Drosophila melanogaster: one gene and its partner. The protein of the gene in region 1 interacts with the protein of each later gene in a pairwise test. Each region holds a gene or a part of one and is shown in the gene's direction. Other genes may lie near its edges.

Region 1 (7,535 bases):
ATTCCCCAGGACGTTCAAGAGGCCCACTACAAGTACAATCAGGAGCAGGAGCAGGGAGCTGCTGTTCCCGGAGGAGATTCCAGCTCTTACCAGCCCGCTGAATACACTCCTGCTTATCTTAAGCAGACCTCTTCTGCCACTGTCGATGCCAAAGTGGTTCCTGGTGGCGATTCCAGCTCCTACCAACCCGCTGAATACACTCCAGCTCATCTTAAGGCTGCTGTTCCGGCGGCTATTGGTGCTGATACCTATGCCCCAGTTCCGGCTGCTATTGGTGCTGATACCTACACCCCTGAGAAGTTCATTCCCCAGGACGTTCAAGAGGCCCACTACAAGTACAATCAGGAGCAGGAGCAGGGAGCTGCTGTTCCCGGAGGAGATTCCAGCTCTTATCAGCCCGCTGAATACACTCCCGAGCACTTGAAGGCCGCTGAGGTGGTTCCTGGTGGTGATTCCAGCTCCTACCAACCCGCTGAATACACTCCAGCTCATCTTAAGGCTTCTGTTCCGGCGGCTATTGGTGCTGATACCTATGCCCCAGTTCCGGCTGCTATTGGTGCTGATACCTACACCCCTGAAAAGTTCATTCCCCAGGACGTTCAAGAGGCCCACTACAAGTACATTCAGGAGCAAGAGCAAGAGCAGGGAGCGGCTGTTCCCGGAGGAGATTCGAGCTCTTACCAGCCCGCTGAATACACTCCAGCTCAACTCAAAAAGTCGGTTGTAGCCTCAACCGCTGCCTCTGCTATTTCTGGGGCAGATTCCAGTTCCTATCAATCCGCCGTTTCCCAGACGAGCTACGTTAATAGCCAGGCCAAGACAATCGTGGCCGGATCGTCTAGCAGTTCCTACCAGAGCGCCCAACCCATCGCCGCCTATGTCCAGGGACAAACCCCAGTCGTCATTGGAGCGAACACGATCACACCTGCCCATCTGTACGAGGAACCCACATCGAATGGCATCGAGGAGTTCAATCCCGATACCCATGTGCCCGTGGCCATTGGTGCCGACACCATTACTCCTGCCCATTTGCAGGCCAGCTACTCCAAATCCGTCCAGGAGACCCAGTACGCGTCGAACGGCGGCTATATTTACTAAGACAAATAACTGAGAGCCACAGAGTCTAATATAATCTTAAATTTATAACTTTTTTTTATTTTGGAACTATAGATCATTAAAATTTCCATAAGTGTAGAGAAAACCAATGCTTTCAATAAACACCAAGAGATTAAAGTACAAATCTATAGAATATGGAACCTTTTTCTGTCTCAACTTTCTCAATTCATACGATTTATTTTTGAAATTGGTACAAATGTAGCAACAAATGAATATGCCTAATCTTCGTCCTCTGAGACCTGAACGCGATAAGTATTTGGATAGAGCTGCTCCGTCAAATAATAGTAATTGGAGTAGGAGGACAGGTAGATCGACTCCGTAGTGTCAACGTCCTCCTTGCCGTCGGAATCATCGCCGAAGCTTCCCAGCGAATCTTTGTCGCAGACTATGGTCCGATCCACATCAGACTCATCCGATGGCACCTTCTCATTATCCGGATCGCTGCCATCTTCAGAGGAGATCAAAATTGGTTTACCATTGCTAAGCTTCGGCTCCGAATCCCAGCCAGCCATGGCTGCGTCCTCTTTGTTTTTGGAGAGCATCATTTGGACCTTCTTGTTGCGAGGACGAACACGATTGCGCGGCTTCTTGGGCTTCTTGGCCACCTTAATGGACTCCTCTGATTCTGGCTTTTTGTCGGAAAAAGCTTCCGGCTTGGGTGGCTTAGGTGGCATGGGTGCCTTGGGCGCATTGGCTGCCTTGGCCACTTTCGATGGGCCAGCTGTTGACGACTTGCGCACGAAATCGCCACTAACCACGAAGAAAGAATTGCCAGCGGTGCTCTGAACCCTGGGCATGGTTAACACAACCTTACTGGAATTGGTGAACTCGATGGTCACCTCCTCGATTTCGTCGATATTCTTCAACGGCAACATGGCCAATGTGGCTTGCACGCGCTTCTCGGCCGCAGCCGAGGATGGGAATCTCTTATGCTTGCGGCGCATAGATCCTTTGCCGCCGATGCGCACCACCTCCTCCATTTTCTTCAGCTTCTTGAAATCCATTGTTTCGTTAGGAAAACCTATTAACTTGTATGGGTAAAGTGCGTGGAAAAGAATTCTCTTGAAATGCTCACCTTGAAAATGCTGTGCTTTACAAATTAATATATTAATTAATATAATATTAAGTAATATTCGCTTGGAGATGTGAATCAACTGAGGTCCTCACGCCAAATCAGAAATGTGACTTTTAGACTGCAAAGTCATCGTCTTTTTTTTTTGAGTTTTTGACACGTGCTAAAAGGGTTGCCAGAGCTTTGTCATGTCCTTGCAGATGGGAACTCTAGACTCGAATATATAAATATCTAGAGTAGATATTGTCGACATCGATTCTTAGGTGCAGATGACCGCACGTCGTGCCTCAAGTAATCAATTTTGCATTAAACATAAACATATAAATATTAACTTTTAACTATGCATGTTTTTTTATCATTTTTATGAAATATAGTTTTTATTGTGTATATTTTCTTTTTTCGGAAAATGTATGTTTTAAGTTAAAAAATTAATACTAACAATTCCAGATCGAAACTTTATTTTATTTATAAGTTGAAATATGAATGTACTTAATATATAAATATTAATTACTATTTTCCAACATTAATTACCTCTTGTTGAAAAGGATAACTGTTTGCAGTTCTCAGAATGGCCATGGTTAAGTTAAGTTATCACCAATGAACTCTGAAATTTCCATCACATTTTGCTTGGCATCGTCATGCTTGACATTTCCTGCCTTTTTTACACTTGAAGATAATTCATCAACGTGATCATAAATGAAATCGATATAAAAATGGATTTTAATTATTGACACAGGCGAATCACAGGCGAATCATATGTGAACGGGCTATAAATCGTCAATAGGTTACCCACCTTGCGAATATGATACATAGATAATCTTAAAAAATTACTCTTTATGTTTCTATGCTACAATGTTGCAAGAGAATCAATACGTTTGATGGATTTGAATATTAATTCAAAAATTGCAAAGGTCTTGCTAAAAATTTATTGAATTGTAAATTTCTGGCTGTGCTGCATTTCAAGTTCACGGACAGTGGAAAGACGCTCGAGATGTGGCAGCAAGTAAAAGTTGTTACTTATTATGTAAAGACCGCTGGGGAACTCGTAACTCTGGCGGCCGGCGTCTGTTCTCAAGGCCATCTTCTGTCGGTCTCCACTGATGGGTTTTGTGTGTTTATGGGTTTTTAGAAAGTGCGAGTGGGGCTCCGTTTTTCGAAACACGACGTTCTGTGGGGGCCATCAATCTGGGCGAGTGTCTCGAACGAGGCCAAATGGATCTCTTTTTGTGCGCCGGCCCATTTCTGCGGTTGAAACAAGAAAAATGGTTGCTCCGGTGTATAATGTGTTAAATTGAATGTTAATTAGTGGAACCCCCTTAGTTTTTTTCCCCCTTTTTTTTGGGCTTTGTGCGGCACAAACCCCCCCCCCCCCCCTCCCTCCCTCCATTCCCCTTGAGTCCGACGCTAATAAGCCAGATTGAAGAGACCACAAAAAGGTGTCCCAAAGTAGTTCACCCGCCGCAAACCCGTTGCGTGGATGGAAAAAAATATAATATCGTAAATGAGCCAAACCCGTTTGCATGTGCGATTTCGTTCGATTTTTATGTTGAATTTAATTTTAATGTGATTTTCCGTTTGGTAGTTTAGCCAGCCCCCTCCCTATATATGCTTTTTAACCTCCGCCCTGATTAGTGTTGCCATTTTAGCCATTTTATTGCCAAAACCATCTAACTAAGTAAGCTCTGCCAATGATCTATGCTAGTTAACGTTTCAAGTTACCATTTTTTTTTCAAAACTCAGTTTTTAAGAAGTAAGTAAATATTTAACAAGTCGGCAGTTTTAAGTTGTAAATAGGTGATTAGCTCAAATGTTAGTATCTAAATCTTTTATATTATTACTTATTTTGCATTGTGCTACCACTACTACTTAATTGAACATTGCAAACGGTCTGGTGTACATAAACAATTATAAGTGAAGCATATTCTTAATTGAAAATACTTAAACTTTTTAACAGTTTTCACAATTAGCTGCCAACTTATGTGGCTATGTCCCCTCAGCCCCTCAGCACCAGTCAGCCGTTTGTTTGTCTTGATTTCATGGTGACGTCTTTTGCGGCGGCTTCTTCTTGGTCCGCTGGCCGCTTAAGCCTGCTCTTCTTCTTGCCCGGCGTCTGCCGTTAGTGCCGGTGTGCCACCGCTGCAGTTGGAACGGGCTCTCCAAAACCGGGGCTTTTCTTCGAAGACGGCCGGCAGCTATAAATTGACTGGCGGCTGGTAGGGACCGGCATCAGTCGCAGCCTCTAGCTCATCCAGCACAGTCGCTTGAAAACGCAGAAACCTCAACTCAAGATGGTCAGTGAAGGATTACAAGTTCAGCTTGAAACAAGGATACATCGATTTAACAATATTATTTGACAAAATTTTTTTTTTTTTTGCGGTGCTTAAAAAATTTGCTGTGTTTGTAATGTGTGAAGTGTGTTGTCCTACTTGCAGAAATTCCTTATTGCCTTCGCCCTGTTCGCCTGCGTGGCCGCCGATGTTAGCCACCTGAGCAACGAGTACCTGCCCCCCGTCCAGAGCTCGTACGCCGCTCCCTCGGTGAGCTACTCCGCACCAGCCGTGCAGCAGACCTACGCCGCTCCAGCCATCCAGCAGTCGTATGTCGCCCCCAGCAACGAGTACCTGCCTCCTGTGCAGACCTACTCCGCACCGGCCGTCCAGAGGACCTACTCCGCACCAGCTGTCCAGAGGACCTACTCCGCCCCCTCTGTTAGCTACTCGGCACCCTCTGTGAGCTACTCGGCTCCATCGGTCAGCTACTCCGCTCCTGCTGTCCAGCAGTCGTACTCCGCTCCATCGGTCAGCTACTCCGCCCCTGCTGTCCAGCAGTCGTACTCCGCTCCATCGGTCAGCTACTCCGCCCCTGCTGTCCAGCAGTCGTACTCCGCTCCTGCCGTCAGCTACTCCGCCCCATCGGTGAGCTACTCTGCACCCTCCGTGGATGTGGGCACCCAGTACGCCTCCAACGGTGGCTACGTCTACAGGAAGTAGGGATCTTCAACGAAGAGGCCTGCAACTGAACACGAAACAGTGTCCATAACTACATACTGCCCAAATTAACCATATATTTTTTTTTTTTGTTTTGTAAACTTTTGTTTACAACGAAATAAACCGAAACATCAATAATCCAAATAAATACTTTTGTTTTTAAAATGGGTTTCAGAGTTATAAAAACAAGCGTCTAATATTAATATTAATAAAATTTTTAACAAGTGTATCCCTATTCACTTTATATCAAAATTCCGGACCAGGATACCAAAATAGCGTACTAAAAACCACGCGCGACTTGAGTGCGGTTTGGTTGCGGTTTAGGTGCGGTTTTGTTGCGGTTTTGATGCGGTTTGAGTGCGGTTCGTTTTCAAAATCGAACGTCAAAAGCAAGTGCTTGTTGGTGCTTAATACTTCAGAGTAGACAAAAGGTGGCACTTTATAAGCCAATAAAAATATAATAAAGTATACGAATGATATGTCCATACAAAGTAAAGAAGATTTATTGGCATTAGTCTATAATGGTAATTTTCAAAATTAAAAAGCTTAATTCTTCGACTAGTTAACACTAAAACCTGTAGGACAAGAACATAAACATTTAACATACATCAATGTTTTAACTAAGTATTAGCGTTAAAAAATATAATATAAAGCTTTAATTAAGTTGGGCTTTTTATAAACAGCTTGCAGCTTTGATTAAACTTGGAAGCTGCGACTATTTTAAGCATTTTCAAAGAGCTTTTAGTTTAAATATAGCATGAAACTTTATGGTTTTCCTAGTTTTAACACTAAGCTTTTGAGTATTTCAAAACTATGACTTGCAGATACATTTTCTGAGAGTGCTTGGCATTTCTGAAAAATTATTTACTCAAGACTTTTTGAAATCATTCAAAACCATTATTTAGTATATTACAGTAAATAAAACGAACCTCCTCGACGTTTTTCCTGTTTTTAATTAACACCCTTTTGCTTTCAGGTAGTAATTTTTAAAATTTAATATTCATCATAAAGCTGAGCAAGAACTTGAATCTAAATCAAATAAAATGTTACCCTTTCATTGTTCTTTCTTTTCGTTTATTGAATCTTTTTCATTATCGCCTCTTTTCTTTGTGCGATGCTGAATTTAACATTCGATTTCGGCGTTAGTTTATTTATGTAAAATCCGGCCGCTAAATTAAATTTTATAGTTCAGTTTTGGCACCTCCCCTCGCACCTTCGATCACCTTTGGATTGGCGATTATTTATGGAACCTTTGTGATGATGCAAAGCAATTTCCGTTCGCCGAATGCGAAAGTGAAATGAGCCGGCCGCGAATTTATGTAATATGTTGATATGCCGTCTTATATATGGCGGATTTGGGGCCCGTGGCCGCATAGCCACCGTCGCCGTGCAAGTTCCCAGAGATCAAACCGGAGCTCGAGATGATGCAGCCATGGGCCGTTGTGGTCCTACTTCTGCCCCTGATCAACGGAGATGTGAGTCACCTGCCCAGGGAATATATACCGCCCAGTGCGGAACTGGAGCCAACCACACGGTCTGCTGCTGATGGCCAGGAGGTGCAGAAGGATCCATCTGGATTCTATCCATCGACTGGACTGCCACTGCCGCCGGGCTATGCCATTCCCACGGGCAGCAACGTTTTGCCACAGCCTGTCCAGCCGCCAAACTTCCCTCTGCCCATCTATCCACCATTCTACGGCTTCGGCGGAGGTCCTGTCGAGCAGGGAGGAGGACATGGTATTGGGCCAGTGCCTTCGGCCTATCCCAACGGAGGTGCATTCCCGGCGGGTCCTACCAATGGAGGCGCATTCGCAGGGGGTCCTACGAATGCGGCCTTCCAACTGCCACCAGGTGGTCCTTTCGGTCCGCAAGCTGGTAATTTTGCCCAGCCAGGTGGTTTCCCGCAGGCAGGTGGGTTTCCCCCACAAGGAGCTGGCTTCCAGCCACAAGGCATCCCTGGCAATGGATTCCCAACGCAAGGAGCTCCCTTCTCACCACAGCAGGGAGTGTTCCCATCACAAGGAGGTGCCTTCGGGCCACAGGGAATACCGGGCAATGGTTTCCTAGGAGGTAACTTCCCGCCACAGGGAGGGCCCTTCCCAGGATCCGCATATCCACCGGAGTTCTTGACAAACCAGGGACTTCCCCTCACAAATCCCCAGGGTCCCTTCCAAGGACCCAGTCCAGCAGGATTCAATGTGCCCGCAGGATTCGGCGGACCTGTGCCCGGCCAGAATCCCTACCAACAATTTGGACCCGGTTTCGGAGGACCCGCTCCGCCGGGCTACTCCGATGAGCCGGCGAAGGAGCAACCAAAGGACAGTGAGAGGACAGTAGTGGCACCACCATCGGCCGACGAT
Region 2 (5,891 bases), on another chromosome or scaffold:
GCTGCCACTGCCATCTGCTGCTGCAGGAACGCGTTGAGGTCGTTGCTCTGCTTACTTTGCTGCATGTAGGAGTCATAGCCGAGCAATTTTGATGCCTGAATAAGGTTGTTGTAGTCGGCACTGAGAGCAGCTGCTGCCGCTGCTGCTGGCGAAGATTTCGAGGACTTGCTGGATGATGAGTTTGAGGATTGACCTCCAGTCAGAGCGTTAGCAGCAGGCACTCCCAGTCCGGCACCTGTCAGATAGCTGTAGTCTGATCCAAAGCCCAAGGTGCCCAGGGTGGTGGCTCCGAGGGCTTCCGCCTGCTGGAGGAGTAGTGCTGCATATTCCGGAGACCGGATGAGCTCGCTCATTTTTAACGGATCGTTTTTTAGTTCATCCAGCTCCTTCATCAATTTCGTTTTATACGAATTGGAAGTTGAGCTGGAGTTCGAGGAGGAGGATGAGGACGAGGACTTCGATGATCGTTCCGACTTGGACTTGCTACTGCTATGGGCGTTGCTGTTTCCGCTGCCTCCGATTCCCACACCCGTGGGCAGCGGCATATTGAAGCTATTCGAGTAGGCAGCCACCGCTGCTGCCACATTGGGGTCATTCAAACCGGACGATGCAGAGGCATTGCTTTGCTTAGAGCCACCCACCTTGGCTGCTGCCGCCGCCAACTGGTTTAGAGAGGAGCTGCCGTAATCCTTGCGCTGCTGCTGGAAGAGCGCAGCCAAATCGCCTTGAAGGAAGTTCGGAGGAAGCTGCCCCGCCAACTGAGCCAAACTAGCAGCCATCAGATCATTGGCCGTGGGCAGACAAGCGGCAGCTGGAGGCACCAAAGCTGCTGCAGCTGCCTCATATTTGTTCGGCGTAATGCTGGGGCTGTTTCGAGCAATATCGCTGACGCTAAACTTGCCCGGACTGGGCGCTGGCGAGTTGCGTGTGCGGGAGGTGGATGCGTGTGACGAGGTATCCGATTTGGCGGGCGACGGTGATGCCCTAACTGGAACCTCAAACTTGGCGGGACTGGCGGAGTTCGATTGTATAGTTATTGGGCTGTCCCTGGGCGAGGCATTCAAAGCGGAGGTCAGGGCCGAAGTCGTCACTGCAGGTGTGATGGCAGGTGGCGCAGTAACTGCGGGAACTTGGGGTGGTAGCAGCTGGCTGGGCGTTGCTGGCAAAACTGGAGCTCCTAAATTGGGCAGCACTGGCGGTAGACTCGTCGGATTGGGCGTGGCCAGAGGGGATAGCATCCGCACGGGGTTCATATTTAGACCGGACGGCATGCAGAGCTGCTCCTGAAGGGACATCACCTTAAGTTCACTTGCCTTTTGCTCCGCCTGTGCGTTAGATTCCTCCTCCGCCTTTCGGCCACTGTCCTCCAAACCACCCATAGCTTCACTGAACTGCTCCTCTTTAGGCGGATTTATCTTGACATCCCCGCTTAGATCCATAAGGACAACAGGTTTGTCTTCCTCCTTAACCTCCAGGTCATCATTGTCGATGATCTTGATAGTCTTGGGTGGAATGAAGTCGTCTTCCTGCTCACAATCCAGCACTGCACATATCCAGTTCCAGAGCGCTTTATCGCTCTGCTTGGAGGGAAACTTTGGGTAGAGTGTGTTTTTCAGCTTTTCGTTGTAGGTAACGTCGTTGTTATAGATGTTCCGGAACTTGACCATCTCGCTCCGGTACTGCGAGTAGTAGTCCACGCACAGCTGTATCTCAGAGCGCACCTCCTCGGGTATCTCCTTGTCCGGCAGCACCGAATACTGCATCAGCATTGGACGGCCATACTCCATGGACTGTCTGTTCTCGTTGGGCGGAACAATCCAAATACACTTGACCACCGACTCCAGGGTAGGGTTTTCATCGTAGTAAGGGGCTGTAAGATAAAATGTATTATTCGATTAAGGCTGAGATGAAGTATTTGCGCAGAATTTAAAAGGCCATTGGATAACACATACATATAATTAGGGAGACACAGGGCGTATAGGTGAGATCGCTGGCACCGCGCATTTTGATTTGATAGTCCAACTGTGCATCGCAGTCGCGCAACGTAGGTTCCGCCTGAAACTTGGGATGCGAGTGATACCATCCAACCAACAGCAATTGATCCTGAATCATCATCTTTTGAATATCACGCTCCACTTCGCCGGCTCGCTGTCGATCAAAGCGCGTGCTGCGACAAGGATATGTCTTTGTGATGGATAGAGCTGAAATGAAAAAAACATGTAGAAAATGCCTATGCAGTATAAATCGCAAGCCGAGCCGGACTCACTGTGTGTGTTCATGTCCCAGGTGCCACCTAGATAGCCGCACACCTCACGCACCGTCAAGTGGCAGTGAAAATCCGCCAGCAAGAGGGCAGAGGAGTTCACTGTAATGAGGAAGGGCTGCAATTTCCCCACCGAAGTAAACGGCACCGATTCAATCAACATGTTGGCGTCGCTGTGGATAAATAGAATTGGATTAAAATACCATCCAGCATATAGATTTAAACTAAAAGCAAGCCAGACTATTCTTTTAAAGAACCAACCCCCCTCAAAATTCAGTACGCATTTGGTCTACTCACTGTACTACGTTGCGATTCGAAACGGTATTATGTGCGAAAACGGTTCGCTTGACGACAATCTCCGGGGTGTCAGTCTTGCGTTCAGCATCTATGGATTCGATGGAATTAGCAAGGATTATAAAGCAAGTGAGCTTTACCTACCCAGTTCACAATCATCTAGCGGCGTCTCCTTTTGCAACGCGCACTTTCGCAAATACGTGTTCTTGTAGGCGTCCAGCTTCTTTCCCTTGTACTTGACCGAGGCCCAGCCGCAGCCGCTCTTCTTGTCCGGATTGATGATCCGCTTGCAGTGCATTGCCCAGGCGCTGGGCGTGAGGAATATTGTCTCAGTCTCATGGGATTTGATCTTACCGTCGGCCAGTAGATCGCCAACGAACTTCTGGCCCAGATATTCGATAGTCATTAAGCCCAGGCCCGGCTGCAGGACATTGGCAGCCATCAGCGTTTGCAGTGTGACGGTGCGTCCGGTGCCATTGAAGCCCTCGTAGTTCTCCTTGGTCTAAAGGGTTTGAATAGAAAATATTATACATTTTCAAAAAGCTTAAGGTATCTCGCTCACCTCATCGTCGTTGTCCTCGTCGCCAGCATCGCTATCCACATCCTTGTCGCACATGTTGTCCTCCAGTATGGCTACAGGTGCTGCACCATCCGTGGGCGGTGGCCCAGGGTCCGGAGTGACGTCCACAGCTCCGGTCGTCGCTGGTGCACGCTCCCCCTCCTCCGCTTGCACCCCTTCGCCAACACAATCGTTTGTTATTTGCAGTGGCGGCGGCGGCGGCGGCTGCAGCACCTCCCCCTCCACTTCACCGTCACCATCACAGTCTCCCTCGCCATCGGAACTGCTCAGCACCTGGTTCTCGCCTGACTCGTCCACACCATGTTCCACTCCGTTCTCCATGCGTTCTTGTCGCGAATTCTGTGCAATTCTACGGATATTTTACTTCCAAGATACTTAAGTTTTGCGAAAAAAAACTGATGGATGCAGTAAGGTAGCTGCTTTTTCTACCCAGAATACCGAAACTCATTAAAACCGCCAACCCACGGTCACACTTGCTAGCGGTCCAATTTTAACCGGTAAAAACGGAGGAATGGCGTTGCCATACATAACATGAGAAGCATTGAATCGGTTATTTATTACAGAAACACAAGAAATGTTTTTGTTTTCAAATGTTTATTTATCATAAAAGAGTTCAAGTCTTTTAGGCATTTTCGTAATCATTTATTTTGAAATCCATTAATTTTACTTGTTTTATCGTTGGTTTTAGTCGTGGCACGAAAACAGTGTAAATGTAATAATATTACTTTAAAATTAATTTTAATTGTGATCTGTTAAAGTATTTAATTTTTTAAATCATTCAAGCCGAAATAATCATTTGAAAATATGTGCGTGGCAAATTTAATGAAACCTCTAAACATCGATATCACAGCGTAGAAATCGACAATAATCATCAAAAACATCGAAGCTTGCAGCATTACTAGAAATAGTCAGCGGAAAAGGCGCGCATTAAATTGTTTTGTTAAATTACTTTTACGGTCAGAAAGTAACTTAAAATACATCCAATTACTATCGTATTTTACATGCGTTAACGAAATGGCACTTTGGGTGGATAAATACCGTCCGCGGGAGCTGTCCAAATTGGACTTCCACAAGGTAAATCAGCGAGGAAACCGGCGCATACATCTATATAGCTGGCCCATATATTAAAGTATCTCTTTTTAAAAAGGTTTTTTATTTTATGATTTTTGCTAATTTCGATGCAGGATCAAGCGGAGAACCTACGCAACCTTTGCAAGCAGAGCGATTTTCCTCATCTGATGTTCTACGGACCCTCGGGTGCTGGCAAGAAGACACGCATCATGTGCCTGCTACGGGAGATGTACGGATCCGGCGTTGAGCGGTTGAGGAGCGAGACCATGACATTCACCACGCCATCCAATCGGAAGGTAGAGGTGATGACGGTCAGCAGCAACTACCACTTGGAGGTGAATCCCTCCGACGCTGGCATGTACGACCGCACGGTGGTGATCGATCTCATCAAGCAGGTGGCCCAGACGCATCAAATTGAGATTAGTGGCCAACGGGAATTCAAGGTGATTGTAATTTCGGAGGGCGACGAACTCACCAAGGATGCCCAGCACGCCCTGCGCCGTACGATGGAGAAATATGTGGCCACGTGCCGGATAATCATATCGGTGAACTCCACATCTCGGATCATTCCGGCCATACGGTCGCGTTGCCTGGGCATACGGGTGGCGGCTCCCAACGAAACGGAGATCGTGTCCATCTTGCAGAACACTTGCAAGCGGGAGGGACTCGCACTGCCCGTGGAGCTGGCCAAACGGGTTGTGGACAAGTCGGAGCGCAATCTCAGGCGAGCACTTTTGATGCTGGAGGCCGCCAAGGTGGCCAAGGCGCCGTTTACCGCCAATCAGGAGATTCCCGACCTGGACTGGCAGGTGTTCCTGCGTGAGACAGCATCTCAGATTATCAGTGAGCAAACGCCTGCCAAACTGGAGAAGATCCGCGAACGCCTGTACGAGCTACTCACGCAAGGCGTTCCACCTAATCTCATATTCCGCGGCCTGGTCGAACAGCTGGTTAACAATTGTGATATGTCCATCAAGGCAAAGACGCTCGAGTTCGCCACCGAGTACGAGCACCGGATGCAGTCCGGCGCCAAGCACATTTTTCATCTTGAAGCGTTCGTCGCTCAGTTTATGAACATCTATAAAAAGTTCCTTTCTGAGCTGGACATGACGGATGATTTTTAAACGATTTACACGCTTTAGCATTTAATTCAAAAAACTTATTAAATAAACTGATTTAAACGAACTATTAACGTTCTTCCTGAAGATCCGTTCGCATCTGCAGAACGGCCATGCTCATCTTATCATCGGTGGTGCGCTTTATGGTCTCAATATATCTTTGAACTTCTTCTTCGAGTTTAAAGTAAGCCTAAAATAGGAATAGATTTGGAATATGATTGGAATGTATTTTGAGTAGAACGAAATTTATATGTATGACTTACCATTTCATAATCAAGATCATCCTTGCCATTAATCTTTAAACCGTGCAGCAGCAAATCGATCGTGCTGATGGGGAAGCAGAGCTGTGGGTTTGCTATGTTCACCGCGTGTTTGAATTCGAAATACTCGCTACCTGCTCCCAGCATGCCGGCGATTATTTCACATCCCAGATCTGCGGCTTCCAGCAGACGATTGTGTTTCACAAGTAAGTGGAGCAGTTCCCGGGAGTGGGATAACTTGTAGGAGTTTATCAGCCACTGGGGCAAGAAGGCGTTTAACCCGAGAAGCCTTTGAACCACGCTCT

The links. Proteins that work in one complex are often made in the same cells at the same time.
Region 2: the proteins of CG1368 (region 1) and RfC38 interact in a two-hybrid assay, tested with the Drosophila melanogaster proteins (one large-scale study listed by BioGRID).

Annotation. Positions count from the first base shown.
Region 1 is NC_004354.4:14,170,351-14,177,885, forward strand, and holds CG1368 (uncharacterized protein), read left to right. Parts: upstream 1-4,405; 5' UTR 4,406-4,476; coding exon 4,477-4,479; intron 4,480-4,620; coding exon 4,621-5,178; 3' UTR 5,179-5,320; downstream 5,321-7,535. Other genes in the region: CG12480 (uncharacterized protein), read left to right, coding at 1-1,098; betaNACtes1 (Nascent-associated complex beta-subunit-like, testis 1), read right to left, coding at 1,335-2,120; CG11581 (uncharacterized protein), read left to right, coding at 6,597-7,535.
Region 2 is NT_033779.5:11,128,432-11,134,322, reverse strand, and holds RfC38 (replication factor C 38kD subunit), read left to right. Parts: upstream 1-3,677; 5' UTR 3,678-4,151; coding exon 4,152-4,211; intron 4,212-4,321; coding exon 4,322-5,332; 3' UTR 5,333-5,391; downstream 5,392-5,891. Other genes in the region: CG4751 (uncharacterized protein), read right to left, coding at 1-1,870, 1,953-2,201, 2,267-2,436, 2,561-2,648, 2,702-3,059, 3,120-3,458; Nup160 (nucleoporin 160kD), read right to left, coding at 5,397-5,516, 5,590-5,891.